Tamandua tetradactyla: one gene and its partner. The protein of the gene in region 1 interacts with the protein of each later gene in a biochemical or structural test. Links are inferred from orthologs where the notes say so. Each region holds a gene or a part of one and is shown on either strand. Other genes may lie near its edges. The genes, in order: RANGAP1 and USPL1.

Region 1 (10,221 bases):
GGTCAAATCCCTACTACATGGGTTACACAGGCTCGGGTCGCTCATCTGTAGTTTGAGTCATGGTTACACTCTCACATCTGTTAAATGACTCCTTTGTTATCATACGGTGACTTCATTAATACCATCCTCCTCTGCAGGTGTGAGCTCCAGGAGCCAAGGGACTGAGCTCTGCCAAGATTAGCACCCAGACTAATAACCAATAATTTTACAGCTGAAAAGCACTTTACCTGTATGATATATTAATTCATACATTCCCCAGCACCACCTAATAAAGGAGTCATGATCATGTCCATGTTAGAACTGAGTAAACAAACACAGCAGGGGGGCAGGGGTAAATGCCACTAAGTCACATAGTCAGAAAGTGGTGGCTGACACCTTTTCCAGTTCTCATTTCACGACAAGGAAGGCTGAGTGCATTTAAGCTTCCTGAATTTCTAGTAGAAACTGAAATTTCAAGGAATGACATAACTCTTCCTAGGAGGTGTGGGAAAATGGCACATTTAGGCTTCAGACTGGTTTTTCAAAAGGGCATCTATATGTTCTTCCCCAAATCCTTGCTTCTCAACCAATGACTTCATGAGCCCCTCATGCTAGTATAGAAGCTCCAAAACCAACCACCACTCCCCTTTCCTGGGGCCACTCTGGACCTGCAACTTCAGGGTCCTGGTTTCCCAGGCCTCCTCTGCAGTGTACTTAGGGCAAGGACAGGGATGACCTCTCAACTCCTTGGGAGACCCACACCAAAAGGGAGCCCCTTCTGTGTTAGTTAGATTCAGTTGTCAACTTGGCCAGGTGAGCATACCTAGTTTTGTTGCTGCGGACATAAGCCAATGGTACGTGAACCTCATTTGTTGTTAATTACATCTGCAGTCAGCAAGGAGGCGTGTCTGCTGCAATGAGTGACGTTTGACTTAATTGGCTGGTGCTTAAATGAGAGAACGCAATGTAGCACAGCCTAAGCAGCTCGGCATTCCTCATCTCAGCACTTGCAGCTCAGCCCAGACCTTTGGAGATGCAGAAAGAAGTCGGCCCGGGGAAAGTTGTTGGAACCCAGGGGCCTGGAGAGAAGACCAGCAGAGACCATCCTGTGCCTTCCACGTAAGAAAGAACCTCAGTGGAAAGTTAGCTGCCTTTCCTCTGAAGAACCAACAAAATAAATCCCCTTTTATTAAAAGCCAATCCGTCTCTGGTGTGTTGCATTCCGGCAGCTAGCAAACTAGAACACCTTCTAACCCCTGAGTACTGATCAGGTCAACAAGGCGAGAGAAAATAGAATGTTTATACAGTCCCCAAAGACCAGGTGTCAGATGCCAGGGCCCCAAGGAAAAACCTAAGCTGTGAAAGTACCTTAAACACACAGATGCACATGTACCATGCTTCCTACAATTTCAGCCCAGGGGAAGTCACACTTACAGAGCAAGTCTATTAGGAAACATAACAAAACAGGGACAGGAGAACAATAGGGTCGTAAGTGGGTTTGCTTTTCTCCTTTGGTTTTCGATTCAAATGGAGTAATGCATAATTTAAAGACTGTATGGCCTATACAATAGGTTAGGGATGGGCCCCAGTCACTCCTGAACAACCAATTGTTACGAAGCTGTTTGGCAGGAATTTCTCTTTTCAGCCTGTACCACATCACAGACTAACAAGTTCCTGAGGATTGTTATCCTGACAGGTAAAGCAGAAAGCCTCTTTGATCTTTCCATGACTTACTGCAGAGAGAACAGGGTCTCATTATAATCATCAACTTCAGGGCCCCTTCACACAGGCATTTGCCCTCCTGGATCACCACCGGCTATCAGCCACAATCAGCATCAAGGTGAATCGTAGGCCCAAAACTGAACCCCAGGTTCCTCAGTACAGTATTCAAGGGCCTCTGCCCTGGGATCCCTATGGGGTTCTGACAACTAACAGAGTTCACTTCTCCCAAACCCACACTACTTGTTTTAGTTTCTGGACCTTAATCAATGCGATTCTCCCTGTTTGGAGTAACGATTCTCCTTCAAATCATCCTTTCATGACAGTTCAAATCTCATCCATGGATACTGTCCAGACCCTCCTAAGCTAAAAGTGAGCTCTCTCCCCTTAGTTTCCAAAGTCCTTTGTTTATGTCTCTTAGAGTACGTTTCACATTCTGCTTCCTGTTAGTCACTTCAGTACCTCATTTCCTTTCCACATTGAGGGCAATCTGGGTACTCCTGGTGACCTATGAAAGCAAGTACCAAGTTCAGCCCATGCTGATGTGGTGAAGAGGTTACCTCCATAAAGTTCAGAGTCAGACAAACTTAAGTACTAACCCCAGCTCCGCACTTACCAGCTATGCCCTCAGATAAGTCTGACAACTTCCGTGAGCCTGTTTTCCAATCTACAAAATGAAGATGAAGCCTATACCTCAAGGGCTTTTGTGAGGATAAACAGTGGTACTATTTGTATGGTCCCTAACACCCTGCCTGACACAGAGTAAGTGTTTAATAGATGGCATTTTATAGCAAGACCATGGTTACTGAACTGAGCTCAACATCCAGTGAGAAGCACAGGACCTATGTTAAAATGCTGGCTCTGCTACTAACCAGCTGTGGGACCTAGGGCAAGTTACCTAAGTCTCCCAAGTCTTTTTTCCTAATTAACAAAGCAGCATTTCCTCCTACCTCCCACAGGGACGATGTGATGAAAGCAGAGAGAGATGCTTGGTGAACTCTAAGGCCCTACAGAGATGTTAGGAATGTAATGTGCATCACCACACTCCCAGCAACCCACGGACTCTGACCCAGGGGAGGTGAGCAAGCCCACCTGCTCACAGTGACAACCAGGCAAGTCCAGACCAGTTTCCCTGTTTGAGGCAAAACCCCAAGAGGTCTTACAAGCATTGACATCAGCATCTTCTGTTCTAGACACCAGGGAATTCAGGGTTGGTCAGCGCCAGCCATGCCTAGGCTAGGGGTGGGGAAAGACAGGGTCTGCATTCTCTGCAGTCCCAATGCCCTCCACAGAGACATGGACATCCATGCCTCTCTCAAGGTATCTGGGAGCACTGACCAGACTCCCAGGAGGGCCTGAGGTGCTGCTTATTTGTACCTCGACATGGACAACAGCTGATGTTCCCAGGAAGTGAAAATGGGGGTAGAAAGAACACCAGATCTGATGTCAGAAGTCAGAGCTAAATCTTGGGACCACGATTAATTGTGGCCCCTTATAACCTACCATTCCTCCCTCTGAGAGGTAAAGAGGCTTTGCCCATCTGGCAGCCTGAGCTGTCACTACAAGCATGAAGAGAGTAGGGCAGCCTGCACAAGCTCATGGGTAAATCGTTAATGTCTCTGAGCCTGATCATTAGAATAGGCCTACTGGATACATAATAGAGTTGCTGCAGCCACATATGCCTGACAAATAGGAAAAGTTTTAAGTGTTCATTCACACACTCCCTTTCCTCCCCTGAACAAGTCCGTCCAGGCACTCACCATCTTCTGCTGTGTTGAGTTTAAGGCTCTTGCCCTTGAAACTCAGCTGTCCTCCGGCCACCTGGGTTTTGGCCAGTGATTCTGCAAGCTTGGCAATGTCTTCGGAGGCCATGATGGTGGAGTCCCCTGGAGATCTGTAAACTGAAGAGGCAGAAGTAGCATTAAGATACCTGGTTGAGGGGGTGGGTGGGAATCAACCATCTCAGGGGTCTGATCTCACTTACCCCTGCTATTAAGACCCTAAGAGCTACACCACTGAGAGATGAAAACAGCATCAAGGAAGAACAGTTCTAGAAAAGGGAAAGAGGTAACAAAGAAATAGATAAATCATGTTTTACTCTCTTAAAGTAGAAAAACCATGTTTCACCGCTAAAGAGTTACTATCTCACTATAAGTCCTGCTCGGCCCAATTGCTCCAGCTAGGAGCACCTAGCAAGGCTACATGATGCAAAGAGTCTGATCCAATCACATACCTGCCTGATCATCTTGGCTGCTCTCTGTTTGAGGGTCCCATTCCTCAAACAGGACATAGATGGCTATGGGGTCCAGGTCATCCATCCCAGGGAATGCCTCACCGCCCACGCTGGCATGACTCTGGGGGTGGGGCACAGGGGTTGGCCCACTGCTTGGCTGGTTTCAACCTTGCAGTCCATGGTGGTCAGACCTCAGAGTTTCTAGGAGACCAGAGATCTCTACATCACAATAGCACCATCACAATAGGTCAGGGGTAGAGTTGCCAGAAAACTCTACCAGGTAGCGGTTTCCTACCAGGTAGGGGTTTCCTACCTGGAGCTCAGTAGACCAGCAAGAAAGGACAACTCCACTTTACCAAAGGGGTACAGGCAGGTAATCAGGGGAGACCAAGGAAGACTGCTGATATGGGGAACAGAACTAGGAGGTGCTTAGAGAGACTCCTTTTATGTAGACTGTCTCCTCCCCCAATCTACTCATCCTCAAGAGGCAGCTATGAGAGCTCCCCCATTCTTCCACTTCCCTAGGCTTTCTCTGGGCTCAACCAAACAACTGTCCAATGTTTTCTCCCCTTCTAACCCTGGTTTGTTTGTCTGTCTGTCTTTAATAATAAGCCTGACTTATTCATTGAGTATAAGCATTCATTCCTTCAAAAAACATTTATTGAGTACTACTACAGGTTGGACATTTTTCCAGGTACCATGAGTACAGCAGAGAATAACAGACAAACATCTTCCTGAAGCAGATGTTTAGTACATTAATGATAAGAAAAATCAATGGGGAAGAGAGTAAAGAAGGATTTTTTTTTTTTTTTTGGTTGTTTAAAGTAGAATGGTTAGAGAAGGTATTGTTAGGAAGGAGGCAACTAATAAAGACCTGAAGTGTGTCAGAGATTGGGGCCTGCAGCCACCTGGGTGAAGAATATTCCCACAAAAGGGGATAGCAAAGGCAAAGGCTCTCGCCGGGAGGGGGGTGTTGGAGAACTGCAAGGAGACCAGAGGGCGCTAAGCGAAGAGCACAGTGAAGGAGGGAGAAAGGAGGTAAGAACGAACAGAGAGCTAAGGGGGACGGGGTATCATAAAGCCATTTTAAGGACCATGGCTTTTTCTCTGAATGACAAGAGACAGTGGAAAGTTTCTAGTAGAGAAGAGCTGTGAACTGGGGAATGCTTTGACAGGATCACTCTATCTGTGCACAAGGCCTGGCATTTAGAAGGTGCTCAAAGAATGAGGGAGTGAAACTTAATAAAAATTAACCTAAACCCTACCACCTCTTGCAGTTCTGGTGTGGGACAATTTGAGGCTACAAAAGTGGTGGTGGAGCCTCCAGATGGAACAGGGATGCAGCTTCTCAGCTGAAGGGGGTCCACTCCTCCAGTCACCTTCCCACCGCCCCAATTAACTCTAAAGACCAAAAAACCCGAAACACAGAGATGTAAATTTGTTTCTCCTAGGTCAGCAAGGGGTTAGCGGCAGAGTCAAGACAGCCCCTCCTCTGCAGGAGCATCGGAGACTTTGTGGGCCTACTGGGAGTCAGTGATGGGAGAGCGACGCGCGACTGCAGGCCATAAATGACAGGCGGGCAGCGCGGGAGCCTCATCCGAGATTCCCGGAAGACTCGCACCGCCTCCAGAAGCCACAGATGCCAACATGAGACGCCACAGCTGGCAGGCATGGACTGGGCGGCTCCAGAGAATTTGACATCCTCTCTATGCCTCAGCTTCCCCATTTGAGAAAGGCACAAACGCCTCTCACCCCCCACCTCCGAGCTTGGCAATCGCAGACGCGGGGGACATCGCCAAGGAGGCACGCAGCAGGCGCTCAGGGGCGCCACACTTTCCTTACTCAGTTCCAGGGCCGCTCCCTCCGCCCCTAGGCAGGTGACGGGCAAAGGAAAGGGACCCCTACCCTACCGTAAACAGGCAGCGCCGCCGCGTGGGGCGAACCGAACACGCGCGTCCGCCCGGCGGGGTGGGGACCGGTTTAGGGTCCGGGTCAGGTCAGGTCGGGGTCGCCGCCTTTGGGCCCAGAGATCTTGATGCTCAGCCCGCTAGGCTGTCTGCTCTCCCGGCGCTTCTCGTCACTCACGTCGCAGACACCACCTGCTCCCCACACCGCGGTGGATGATGGCGGAGGAGGAGGATTTTGAAAGCCGGCAGTTTCTTGCCTTCGATTTGATTTGTTCGAGGCCCAGGCCGGCTTCCCCTGCCCCCCGCGCGCGTGGCCTATCGGGTATAGTAGTCCAGTCCTTCTGCGCGGGGCCCGGAGTTACATGGCAGGGGCGCATACTGTGAACTACAAGTACCGTGACGCACCGCCCTCCAGAGTGCCACAGCCGTCGTCCTCCCATTTCGACGTCTGGCTCTTTCTCGGGCAGGCCACGGGACGGTGCTTAACCGGAAGCGCGCAGAGAGACTACAATTCCCCTAATGCCGTGCAGCACGGCTGTCCCAGCCCTTCCGGAAAGTTTATCTTCACGTAACTTTATTGATAACGGCTGGTACTTCCGAAGCCGTGCTGCTAAATCTCCTCAGCAAGAAATCAAGTATCCATTTCCTGAAAGAAAAAACTCGTGTTTTTTCGTCTCATTGAATTTAAAGGGCATTCGAAGTCTTCTTCATAAATAGCCATACATTACTTGGTAATCAAAAAGGGGTAATAATAATTCTATAGTAGAGAAACTCTGCGGACACCACCTTAACCAAGTAATTAAAGTTATCATCCGACACCCCACGCCTCATGATGTGATGCATTGAGACGGACACGGCATGACTATCCTGTCAACAATGCATAAAATTAATCTTGAGGAAACTTGTTACAGAAAAACTCTTCTGTACTCTTCCAAAAATATATCATGAAGGGCAGAAAAACAGGAACCCTTGCAGATTATAGTAAAAAGACACGACTAAATGCAATGCGTAATCCTGGATTGGATCCTGGGAAGATTGTCATAGGAGACAATATTGATACTATTAGCAAAATCTGATTGTACATTAGATAATACAATTGTATCAAAGTTAAATACCCTGATGTTGAGTATTGGACTAGGTTATGTTAGAGACTGTCCTTGTTCTTTGGAAACAGATGCTGAAATAATTAGGGACAAAGGCATGATGTCTGCAACTTACTCTCAAATGGTTCAGAGAAAAAAATGTATATGTACATGTATATGTATACATAGAGAAAGGTAAAGCAAATGTGGCAAAACATTAATAAATCCAGTATACGGGAGTTCTTTGCAACTTTTTTTAAAGTATAAAAATGCAAATAGCTTTTGTTTTTTATAAACAGCTTTTTAACCATTATATTAAAAACATGTATTCATTATAAACAATTCAACCAATATAGAATAGGAGAAAAAAAAGTAAACCTCACCTGAAACCTAAGCATCTAGAGATAATAACTGTCAACATATGCAACCTTCTTTTCCAGTTACCTCTCACAATCCAGCCTACACATATGCTTTTGCTTTACCTGCAATTCAGTTAAGTATATTATGTGCCAGATTCTTGCACACATAGCTTATTTAATCTTTACAACCACACAGGAAGTGGGCATTTTCCCAGCCTTCCCAGCATCAAGATGAGAAAGCTAACTCTCCAGACCTAATGTGACATCCCTGGTTCAAACAGCTGCTTAGAGGTGACACCTGCCCCATGTGTCCTCTTTCCCACACCAGATTGCTTCCCCTCCCTCTCCTCTGCCTGCAAAGTCCATGTCAATTCCCCCTCATCCTGAAGGCCTTCCTAAACCACTGCAGCCAGAATTAGTCTCGCCCAGTTCTGAGTCCCCACAGTAGTTGGCACATGGCTCTGAGAGCTTTCCCACAGTCAGAGTTAGCTTCCTACCTAGCCTGGGAGGGCCTCTGAGAACAGGCACTGTATCCACCTGAGCTGCATCCCCTTTGGGCCTGGCATCACTGATGTTTTGGGTTTCCTCATTTGAGGATTCCTGTCAGGGTCATCTGATGTTTGCCATCAGAACAAGCACTCCCAATTAGGTTTGATGCTGTTTCTGCGCCGATTCCAGCTAAGATTGATCAAAATCAGTCTGGATTTTCCTTGGGGTAATCTCCAGTCTCCGTTTTCCGGTTTTACTCCTTGAGACTTGAGGATCTCAAGACAGAGACTTCCCAAAGAGAAGAAGATGGGCAATAGAACATTTTAGTTGCTTAGGTGAACTTCCCCTTCTTCATCCAGCAGATAGATGATAGGGTTATCAGAACTGAAAGGGAATTCTTAGCAGAAACTCAACGGCCTTCAAGGGTCAAGCAGGTAATAGGAATTATTAAAAAGCCTGGTGGGGCTTGTGGAGGACTAGAGAAAATTTCTGACTGAAGGCATTCACGTGCAAAGCTAAAAATAAAAAACCCAGCCTGACCACACCTCTGAGCAATCCAGATTTTGTTTGTAACACCTGAATCTAGAGTCTATCTCAAACTCCTTTATGGGTAGGGATACTAGGACTTAAAGAGAAGGAGGTTTGCCAACGTTGCACAGTGAGTCAGAAAAGTCCAGATTCATCATTTGTTTCCCAACAACCACATTTGTCATCTTTTTCTCACTTTCCCTTTTTCCAACTTTCTTTCAAGATATCACCTGAGACCTGATCTATTTGCCTGGCCCAAGAAGTGGACTCAGCCTTTATGGATGGATGGGTAGAACTGAATTAGGCCACCCTTTTCCTGAGGACCAGAGAAGTTAAATAACCTGGCAAAAGTTACACAGTAACTTTAGACAAAAACAAACAAACAAACAGTAGAAGCCAGACCTCTGGGGTCCTTTTCAACACACTCAGAACAAGTCATATTGTGTGAGGCAAGTACAGAGGGAGAAAGGGAAGACTGCTCCAGATGTTTCTCTCCCAGTTGTAACGTTTTCTTAAAAGATGTTTTCAAGAGAAAAGCAGGCTGCCTCTGATTAGTTTACTTTAACTGAGTGCTTTAAATTCCATTCTGGTGGATGCCAGTGAACTTAATTGCAAATTTTAAATGGAATAAATAATATTTATGCTGATTTCCTGAAGAATTACCAAGGCTGCAGACTTGCCATTTAGTCTGATAAAAAACAAAAGCCTAAAAGTATGTCAGGCACGAGAGGAATGTGGAGAGAAATTCCCAAGATCCAACTGGGTGCTGACCTTGGGCTCCTGGGAGAGAGCTGGGTCAGCCCACCAGCATTACATGGGAGCCTCACACAGGGTCCCCTCCTCTGTAGGGGAGGAGGGGCAAAGAAGGGGGCCACTACATCATCTGTTAACTACATTCAAACCACATTCCCCCTGGGTTCAAGCCTATGGCTCTACATCCAACACACATTTTTTTTTCCTACCTTGCTAAATAACAAAATTAAAATAAATCATTCATTGCGCAAATAGTTATGGAGCATCTACTATGTGCCAGGCTGATGAAAATACAATGATGAACAAGATAGAAAATGACAGAGTCCCTGGAGAAGCTTAAATTCCTGTCTAAATGATGTTTTTGGAGAGTTTCCTGGTGCCAACGGCTTTTGGCAGATTATCTTCTCTTTTAATAATTCGTTTGTTTCAAAATGGAAATAATTTTATGTTTTAAACGAAAACTGACACAGTCATTAAAAAAACTGTACAAAAGCAAAATATTATAGAGTAAAAGCTAAAGTTTAATTTTATCTTTATTCCCAGTATCCAGATTTATAGCCACTGTTAATATTCTGCAGGATGGATGGATGGGTGGATGGGTGGATGGGTGGATGGGTGGATGGGTGGATGGGTGGATGGGTGGATGCATGGGTGGATAAATATGTGATAGAGCAAATATAACAAGGTGTTAATTGTAGAATAATCTACGGCATGTGGGTTGTTCATCATGCACTTCTTTCAACTTTCTGTATGTTTGAGTATTTTCATAATAACATGGTGGGGACAAAAGTGACCATTATCACCTGCATTTCATCTACTGCATCATAATAAATTAGTGGCTGGCCTATCTCACCCTTTAAATTGGTTCTTCCTGGTCTCTCTCTCTCTCTCTTTCTCTCTCTCTCTCTTTCTTTTAATGTCACCCTCACCTTTGAAAACCTGAATCTTTGGACCGTTCGTTAGGAAGAATATGTTTTTAATTTATTTTTTAGTTCACACATGCATATACCCAGCACTCTGCTGGCATCATTTCATCCTTTCTCTGCCACTTGGGATAAAAACTCCCATGATCCCCAGTTTACAGGTGAGGACAAAAGAACCAAAAACCTCAAGTTGTGCAGATCTCTTCAGAGCCCTTCCCAAAACCTTAATTTAAGATCCCTTGTTGGGGT
Region 2 (9,893 bases), on another chromosome or scaffold:
AGGTTTCATTTGTCGGCAGTAATCACTTCCACAAGCCCCGAGGAAAAACAAGTGCTTTTGCTTAAACCAGACAGGGAAAGTGTCCTAAAATGCCCATGGTTCACTTGGTTTTCCTGGTTTTAATGAAACACTTCAGCAGTCTCCTTTCTTTTCCCTCCTTCGTTTTTCTCTGTAGCATTTGTTAGGGAATTTTCTTAGTTTATCAGACTACATTTCAAGGCTTTCCTCCAATTGTTATATGTTTTCTCTCATTTTCCCCATATTTATTGATGACTTTCAAATCTATATGTACAGTACGGATTCCCTCTCCTGAGATCAAGACTCATCTCTACCAAGGATGTGGAGTGTCCTCCTGGAGGTCCTGCTGTCATTTCAGAATTAATTATTTGCTCCACTCTTCTCCTGCTCCTTCATGCTAATACCCTTTCTCTCCTTTTACACGACCTATCGAAGTCCTATTTAGGCACTGCTTTTTCTGGGAGATCCTTCCAGACTCATTGAGGCTGGGTTAGGTGTAAGCCTATCTTAAGGGTCCTAGGCTGGGTGGGGTGCAATTTTAGCACTTACCTTGGTACTAAATATAGATCATTGCAATTGTAGGGTGCATCTCACCATTCAGTCAACAAATATGTCAGATTCTGTGACAGGGTACCAAAAACTGGAGGCTTAAAAGAACAAAAACATATTGCCGCATAATTCTGGAGGCTAGAGGTCCGAAACCAAGGTGTTGGCAGGCCCGTGCTTCATCTGAAGACTACCCTAGAGAGGAATCTGTTCCCCATTCCTTTCCTGGCTTCTGGTGGTGGACTGCCAGTAATGTAGGGCTTTCTCTTCCTCAATCATTCCATGGCATTTTCCCCTCTTCTGGGCCCAAATTTCCTCTTTTCATAATGACACCAGTAACACTGGATGAAAGGCCCCCCTTTTCCAGTTTGACCTCATTTTACCTTGCCTACTTCAATCTGTAATGGCCCTACTCTCAAATATGGCTAAATTCTGAGATAATGGGGAGTAGGACTTTTAACATATCTTTTTGCAGGACATAATTCAATCCATGCCAGGTGGTGAAAGACACAACAAAGAAGAATAAATCAGGGTAAAGGGTTGCACCCACCTAGGGGAAGGGATGCTCTTTTCAAACTGCATAGATTTCACAGACTTAAAGATTTGACCCTAGTGGGAAAGCCCAGGAGGGCTCTGAGAAAAGGAGTGACCTGATGTGATTTATGCTTTAAATGATACACTGACTGCCAGATAGAGAATGATCTGTAGGGAGGCAAGGAAGGAAGCAGGAAGAACAGGAGAATATCGTTATAATCCAGTGGTCCTTGACTGAATTTTCCTTCCTAGATTTTGCTTCCCAGAGAATATCTGGTCAAGTCTGGAGACATTTTTGGTTATCAGAACTGGGGCTACAGGTCATTTGTATCATGCAAGTAGAGACAAGGATGGTGCTACAGACCCAAGAGAGAGGACAGCCTCCTACCTGGTCCAAAACATCAGTGGTGCTGATCAGGGTTGAGAAACCCATCTATAATCTGAAATAGAATGGTGGGTTGGATTAAGATGGTAGTCGTGGGAGCTAGAGAAGTGGTGAGATTCTGAATATATTTTGAAAGGAGAGCTGACTACATTAAATGTAAATGGAGGAAAAAGAGGCTCTCTGCCAGAGCAATCAGAAGAATGCAGTCTTCATACTGAGACGAAGTAGGAAGACTGCAGGAGTTGTAGGGAAGAAGTAGATGCTTTGTTTTCTTTGGGGGTGGACAGAAATGGTTAACCAGAATCAAGAATTCAGTTTTGGACATACTAAGTTTGAAATGCCTCCATGACATCTCTGGTAGTTTGAAGCTGTATGCACCCCAGATAACATGTTCTTTAGCTTAATCCATTTCTGTCGGTGTGAACCCGTTGTAAGCTGGATTTTTTGATGAGTTTACTTCAGTGAAGGTGTATCCCACCTCAAAGGATGGGTCTTACCCTATTACTGAAGTCCTTGATAAGAGAATGAAATTCAGAGAGAGAAAGCTGGGAAAGCAAGAAGGTGAAAGCAACAAAACCCAGAAGAGAAGAGAGAGAACAGCAGACACCACCATGTGCCTTGCCATGTGGCAGAGAGCCAAAGATTGCTGGTGGCCAGTATCCAGGAAGAAAGCATCATTTTGGTGATACCTTGATTTGAACATTTTCCTAGCCTCAAAATTGTAGCCTAATAAAATCCCATTGCTTAAGTCAACCCATTTCATGGTATTTTGCTTGGAATGGCCAAGGAAACTAAAACAACCTCCAAGTGAATATATCAGGTAGGCAGCTAAATCCATGAGTCTGAAGTTCAGGGCTAGAAATATAAGGATGGAATTTTGAGCATCTATGGCTATAGGACAGGATAAGATCACTTAGGCAGTCAAGGAAAACTGCAAAGAGCACTGAGGACTGAGCCCTAAGGCACTTAAGAGGAGGAGGCAAAAGACAGGAGAAGCCATGGAAGAGGAGGAGAACAGAGTAGGAGAGAATGATCAACTGTGTCAAATGCTGAGAGGTCAAGTCCAAAGGGGATTCAGAACTGACTACCAGATAATGCAACATGGAAGCCAGTGCTGATGTACAAATGAGCAGTTTGGGTGGAGAGGAGAAATGAAAGCCTGACTGGTATGGATTCCAAAGGAGAGCAGAGACAGCAACTATATACAATGATAGACACTTGAGGTCTTATGCTATAAAGTGGAGTATAGTAACAGGATTATCTGGAAGACTGCCCCTTCCAACTTATTTTATACACAGAAAAGCTGAAAGAATAGCATGACAACTATCCTTGTATCTATTGTCTAGAGTCAACATTTGTTAACACTGTATTATATGTGTTTTACCTATACATGCTTATGTGTATACATATATCTATTTTTCTGAATTATCTGAAGATAACTTCACTCCTAAATATACTTCAAATATATCTCCTAATAATAAGATCACCCTTCTAAATAACCATATAGTCACCAACACACTCAGGAAAATTAAAAATATATCCCCAAATATTTTCTATGTTTGGGAATATTGAAATTTCTCTAAAATATATATTTTTTAATGCTGTACGGTGGAGGGCACATTTCATTCTTTTTCTATGTGAGTATCTCCTTATTGTGGCACCATTTGCTGAATTTTTATTTTGGTTTTTCATTTGGCTCCCACATGGCAGGCAAGAATTCTACCACTGAACTTCTCTTGCCCTCCCCCACCCCCCGAAATGTATTTTATGGTAGTAGTTTAAAACCCAAAATCTACTCAAGGTCCATGTGTTGTATTTGGTCATCAGGTTTCTTTGTTCTCTTTTAATGACAATGACTTTTTAAAAAGACCAGTCTTACAGAACATTCTACCTTTTGCATTTGACTGATTCCTTGTCATGCCATTGAACTTGTTCTTCTACCTTAGAAGCGGAATTTCTGAGGTTAGTGAGTGTATTTATTATTCCCAGCACAAGATCTTAAAATGAACATTTTTTAACTTTCCTATACCTCCTGTCCTTTCATTTTCAGAAAATCCTCAATCTTTTCAAAGTTTATTCCTTTCACCCACCACTTCTTATTAGCTCTGAAGACTCAAGTGAGCAACTTCTAAGGTTTACATATTCTACATTCAGAAAAAAAAATGTACTACCACCTCTCATTGACCGTAAGACTTCATAGGTGATCACACCTTAAAACCAAGTGTGATTCTATTGATTAATCATGACAAATTACATTTCAAAAGTTAAGATGAATTTCCCGAAATTTCCTTTCTGATGAGCAAAATAGTGCCTCCTAATACTTGAGGGTGAAAGCTGTCATCAATATGCCTACATGACTGGACACTATGACAGGCAGATGAGTTAACAGGGTTTGGAACATACTTTCTTCTCCCTTTGTAAATACCTTAATGATGAACTGGTTATACTAGCATCTGAGCTTCTTCAACTTTTCATTCATGTATCTAGTTCTTTAAGCAACTTAAAAGCAAACTGATTCAACAATGTGTGTGGCTAGAACCCAAAAGAATATTTAGGCATTGCCAATTTATCTTCAAACATTTCCTGCCATAATCTTGAAATTATTCTCTTTCCCATAGTGTTGAAAAGCATTAAAAATAAAGGACGAATGAATTTTATACTCTTTAATTCACTGAACATTTCAAGTTCCTTCTTAACATTGTTGTTTTACAAAACCTAAAATTACTTAGCACACTACATGCAATATAAATTATATTCATAACCATTTTAGTTCCCTTACTTGGACTCCTTTAATCTTTTGGCATTAAAATGTTAAGCTCCTGTTTGCTTACTCAGAGTGATGTCTTCCATCTCTCTGGGCCTATGGACTAATTCTGTGAGGTAAATGATCACCTTAGCCATCGATTCCACCTCATTCTGATTACCACTGCAAAAACCTCCCTTGAAGAAATCAGAAGATGGGACTCAGACTTTACGAGGCACCTCCCAGGAGACCACAAGTAAATTATTAATACATTCTAAAATCAAAATTGTAGTTATTATCACCTAGTTAAGTCTGCCTGTAGATCCACTGAACTTTCCTGGACGATCTGGAAGATCATGCAAACCAGCAGTCCCTGACCACCCTGGTAAACCGCTGACTCAGGGACTGAGCTGGGCAGGAAGGAGGGGCCGGTAGTAGAGAATAATCCTCTGGACACATTCTCTCAACTTATTCTCCAGCTAGGAAACCATACATAATATCTCTACAAAAATAAAATTATTTCAGAAACCACCTTTAATATTTTAGTAATTTTAACAGGATATTATATCATCGAGTTGTTTCCTCCCCTAAGAAGCAAGGTGAGGTACAGGCTAAATACTTGTGGAAGCCAGCCTTCAAGACAGCACCAACCAACCCTGTCCTGGTCGTCACACCCTTGAAGGGGTCCCTCCCACGGGCTCCAGGGGTTGGTATGTGCAACCCACAGACCATGGCAAAGTGAAGGTATGTCACTTCTGAGGTGAGGTCATAAAAGGCACATAGTTTCTGCCCTATTCTCTGGGAGAAAGCCAGCTGCCATGCTGTGGGAACCCTAGGGCAGTCTGCAGATGACTGCAGCCCACAGGCGTCTCAACCACAACCTCATGAGACCCTCAAGCAACTCCTGGATGCTTGCCCAGTGAAACTGTGCAGAATGGTAAGTGTTTATTATTTTAAGCTGTTTGGGGGTTAGTAAAAGTTAACTAATATAATTTATACTGAAAAAAATCTACTTTTCAATAACCTTTCAATACCTTCCATGACCTTTCATTTAAATATTTAAGAAGTCCAAGAATATACCTATTGAGCACTGTGAGGATATGAAAGCTCCTTCATACTCCACATGAAACTTCCTGAGTGTAATATTCATAACTGACCTCTCTCACCCTCACCAATTCCCTCCTAGGGTAGGAGCAGGTAAGGGATCTGATGGCAAATTTGGGAGAAGAAAGTATGTACCCCGGCCACATCCTTCCTCCTTTCCATTTGGGACCTGGCTGACTGAGGAGGGCCATTTGTTCTGGTCTGGTATATATGGTGGATAAGCTCTACCCTTGTAGACAGAGAAGCTGAGGTTTAAATCTGCCTACTTCTGGAGTGCAGTATTAGGAAGCTCATTGTTGCTGCAAACCGAAACCACATTTCCAAACGACTTTTTTTGGTAATTAAACTAACACTTTAATCTTCATGTGTTTGACTACTGCATCATTTTATAACTGGATCCAAATTTAGACAGAGGAAAAGACATGGACATTACTTATTAACCCCCAAACAAAGAACCAAGCACTATGATGGGTATTTTGTGCTCTTGTAGAGGTTACAGTGTATTTGGGATGAAAAACAAAACAGCCAGAGGGCTACATAGTAACCTAAGAACTACCTAACGAATATAAACTATAAGAAGCACACGATTATGAACAAGCAGGTGAGAAACTGTGGACACTCCATCTTTGGTTAGCATTAGAATATCTGCAAGTACAAGGTAAAAATATAGGTGCCTGGGTCTGCAGAAGTAGGACCCACACAATTGCATTTTTCCCAGTATAATCCGACCTATACCAATTTAGGAACCAGTGGTATACATGGTAAATTCCATGACTTTGGAAAATAGAAGACTGCTGTGAGCTAGCAGTGACAGCCCACAGAATTTGAAGTGAACTGTAATGGACAAGCAAGAGGAAAAGGGGAAAGCAATAATTGCTGCAAGCTTATGAACTGCAAGACACTGTTCTACATACTACCTCACTGAAGATCATTTCATTTTATATATGGAACTGAGGCTCAGAGAGGTTAAATAGTTTGCCTGAAATGCCACAGAAGTGGTATCAATAGATGTTTTCATTTTATAGGTAAAATTGAGCAGTAGCAGAATTGGGATTAATAAATGGCAAATTTGAAATCAGGTCTGTGAATCTAAAGCCTATATATTTTTTCCCTCCTTTTTTCCCTAAAGTAGAAGGAGGTCTGTGTTGCTTAGGAAAACACACAGACGGAAGAAAGCACAAATAAACTTTCAAAAGATCAGATTGGACCCATCAAAAAAGCAATCTACACTCTTAAATTGTGATGTCAGTGAACAGTACATTAAAGACAAATCACATGCTTAAAAAGCACTTTAAAAAAATGTCTATTTTCAATATTCAGTGGTTTTGACTTAACTGATTAGTTTACTAAACAACTCTTAACTCCAATAAGCCATCAGTCAAATCCAACTGTTAGAGTGAACTCATAACAACTAGCTGGAAATTACCAACATAGTAAAAGCCGCCAAACTGATTTTAGGGTTAGTCTCAAATTTAGAAGTGCAATGTTTAAGGCCAAACTAATTTTATTTATAACTGAGATTTTTAAAGATGGCTTTATGATAATGCTTTATAAGAATCCTTTGTGGTCAGTATTGCCATTTTAAGGCTTTAAAAAAATGAAGCTGAACATTCATTCACCTCTATTCTCTACAGGGACTTCTGCTCTTTTTTTTTTATTTTCAAAACCAAAGTCAAAATCCACTGTGTGCTCTTCCCACAATTAATCATTTTTTCCTCTGTTGCTCCTACAGAACATTGCATGTAAATCTTACTTAGCATTTTATGTCATTGTTGTGCCTTGTATGGAAGCTGTTCACAAATATTTCTACTTGCTTTAGGGATAAAGCCTATGCCTTATTCACCTTTGCATTCCCTAGAATTTAGCACATTGCCTTGCACAGTCAATAAAACTTGATGAAGAATGTTTAAAATTTTCCTCAATAAGATGAACATATCAAATATGAACTAATAGATATGAGAACATGAGGGAAATATGCTGTTGAAAACATTTCCCTTCAGAGTGGATCTGGTCAGCCATGTCAACTGGAAATTGGGAACCATCAAGGTCATTCATTCATTTACTCAACAAGTATGTGCTATGTACCAGGCACTGCATCTACAATGGCAAATGAAATAGCTGTACTGCATGCCCTCACAGAGCTCACAGCCTAGAAGGTGGACAGACATTAAATAATAAAAATAAAATTAAAAAAATGACTATGTAATTAAAAGCTGAGAAGACTGCTATGAGGAAAACAAACAGCAGCAAGTGGTAGTAGAAAACTAGAGGGGGGTAACAGAGAGTGGTGAGCTCCATCAATAGGGTGGATAACTTGACCCATGACATTTAAGTTGAGGCTTGAAGGATGAGAAGAGCAAATTAGGTAAAGAGAAGGGGAACAGCATTGTCAGCAGAGAGGCCTGAAAAAGACGTCAGGTGTTCCAATGCCAGCTTTAGGAAAACGGTTACCACAGCACATAGCCTGACCTTCGGTATTTCCATTCTTTGTCACTGTTTCTAGCACCACTTTTCCCTTGATGATATGCATGAGAGTTTAAAATTTCCTGGCTATATTAAGTGATAGCATCAACTCTGGGAACATAAGACTATTCATTTCCAAATAATCCTAAATTCCTTCCAGTCTGATGACTCATAAATTCACCTTTAAGTGACAACCATGCCCCAATTAGGAAAGTGTTTCTCTATGTCAGCTTAATTTTTTCTTTGGTGCCCTCCTGATTGCTAATCAACAGGTTGTGTGATTATTTCAAAAATTTCTTATGGAATCTTGTTTTGCCATCAGAAAAATATCCTGGTACTTTCTGAACTCTAGGTTGCTCTAGAATCTAGGCAGACCAAAGTACCTAAACCAATGCCTAACCACTGGGCACACTCAGATCTATCACTAGAGCTCCATATGAACTGGGAGTGTATGTGCTATATTGGGAAAAGTCCAGGAATAGAAATCAGAGCATTTAGGTTTCAGTACCAAGACTGCCACTGTTATGCAAATCTGCGTAACAGTTTACTTCTTTTTTACTTAGTTTTCTCATTGGTAAAGTGAGCAAACAGAGAAGTTGCATTTTAGGCACATTCAACTATATGTGCCTGGTAAAAATTTTAAAAGAAAAAAATCAATTGAAAAAGCACTTGGTGGGCATATACCCTAGGGTGAGCTGAGATGGAATGCACAGATCTGTTGCTCCATCCATCCGTCTCAGTCTTCATATGCCTCTGCTGAAAATCTTGCTCTGCTATAGGATTTTAGTGTTTGAAGATTTATATATTTATTTAGAACAAGATTCACCTGCTTCATGGGGGGGGGCAAATGAAGAAACACCCAGGTGATGTGATTTGTCTCAAAATACTCAATTTAGAATCAAGCAGTATGCTGACTCCAGTACACCACCATATTATACTGGTGTAAGGAACACATAAATTAAAGTAGATGGCATCTTAGAAATACATGGTTTTTTGTTTTTGTTTTTTTGCATGGGCAGGCACCAGGAAATGAACCCAGGTCTCTGGCATGGCAGGCAAGAATTCTGCCTGCTAAGTCACCGTGGTTTGCTCTTTTTTCTTTTCTTTTACATGCATGGGCAGAAACCAGGAATGGAACCCAGGTCTCTGGAACCCATTGACAATTCTGCCATTGACCCACTGTTGTACTGCCTGAAATACATGGTTTTTAAAGTTATTAGTCACTGAAATTTTTTATCAATTATACCACTATTCCAATAGAGCTATGCCATTGTCTACAGCAGATAAATTCATGTATGCAGAACATGATTAATGTACAAATTACGCACAGCACAATGTTTTTCATAAAGATCTGAAAAAAAAAAGATCTCCCAAAAGGGAGGACTTACAAAAAATGATACATCCACGCAATGGAATATTATGCAACTGTAAAAAAATGAGGACACATAATGATGTAGAACTTCTAAGATAAATGAAAAAATACGGTACAGTATGTAATATGTATTATTTATGTAAAAAGAGAAGAAAAATAAAGTATATATAGCACTTATTTACTTATTTGCTTATACATGCGTGTATGTGTGTGTGTGTGTATATATATATATATATATATATATTTTTTTTTTTTTTTTGGAGCATAAACTATTACCACTGGCTGCTTCCTAGGAGGAACAGATGTGGAAGGCAAAGTTTTCACTACATATCCTTTAGTATCTTTTGAATCCTGAACCATGTGGACATATTACCTAATCCAAACCAAACAGAATTTATATAACTAAGAACACAGCTTGAGATGAAATGGGATAATGTCCTTAGTGAGAAACATTTTTTTAAAAGTTGGCAGTTAGTTTCAAGAGTAAATATTTGCAGGTAGAATTTTGGAACTATAAGGGACCTTCTCTAAGAAGTCCACCTATTCCAAACTTCTCACCTTAAAGATCTGTAAAGCGAGGCCTTGAAAATTTAGCAACATTTGTAAGATCACATAACAGAAGAGATGGAACTAGAAATCAGACATTTCAAAATCCACTCTAGGACTCACCTCTATTCATTTTATGTGGGCAAAACAGAGCCACGTAAATTCGAACTAATGAGTTGTCA

Evidence for each region.
Region 2: of the proteins of RANGAP1 (region 1) and USPL1, one has a biochemical effect on the other in vitro, tested with the Homo sapiens proteins (2 studies listed by BioGRID). The link is inferred for Tamandua tetradactyla from reciprocal best matches to the Homo sapiens genes RANGAP1 and USPL1.

Annotation. Positions count from the first base shown.
Region 1 is NC_135333.1:34,450,777-34,460,997, forward strand, and holds the start of RANGAP1 (ran GTPase-activating protein 1), read right to left. Parts: upstream 4,133-10,221; 5' UTR 4,017-4,132; coding exon 3,932-4,016; intron 3,749-3,931; exon of another isoform or gene 3,683-3,748; intron 3,600-3,682; coding exon 3,459-3,599; intron 1-3,458. UniProt on the Homo sapiens protein: GTPase activator for RAN. Converts cytoplasmic GTP-bound RAN to GDP-bound RAN, which is essential for RAN-mediated nuclear import and export. Mediates dissociation of cargo from nuclear export complexes containing XPO1, RAN and RANBP2 after nuclear export.
Region 2 is NC_135330.1:195,668,920-195,678,812, forward strand, and holds the start of USPL1 (SUMO-specific isopeptidase USPL1), read left to right. Parts: upstream 1-5,016; 5' UTR 5,017-5,160; coding exon of another isoform or gene 5,161-5,163; intron 5,164-9,893. UniProt on the Homo sapiens protein: SUMO-specific isopeptidase involved in protein desumoylation. Specifically binds SUMO proteins with a higher affinity for SUMO2 and SUMO3 which it cleaves more efficiently. Also able to process full-length SUMO proteins to their mature forms.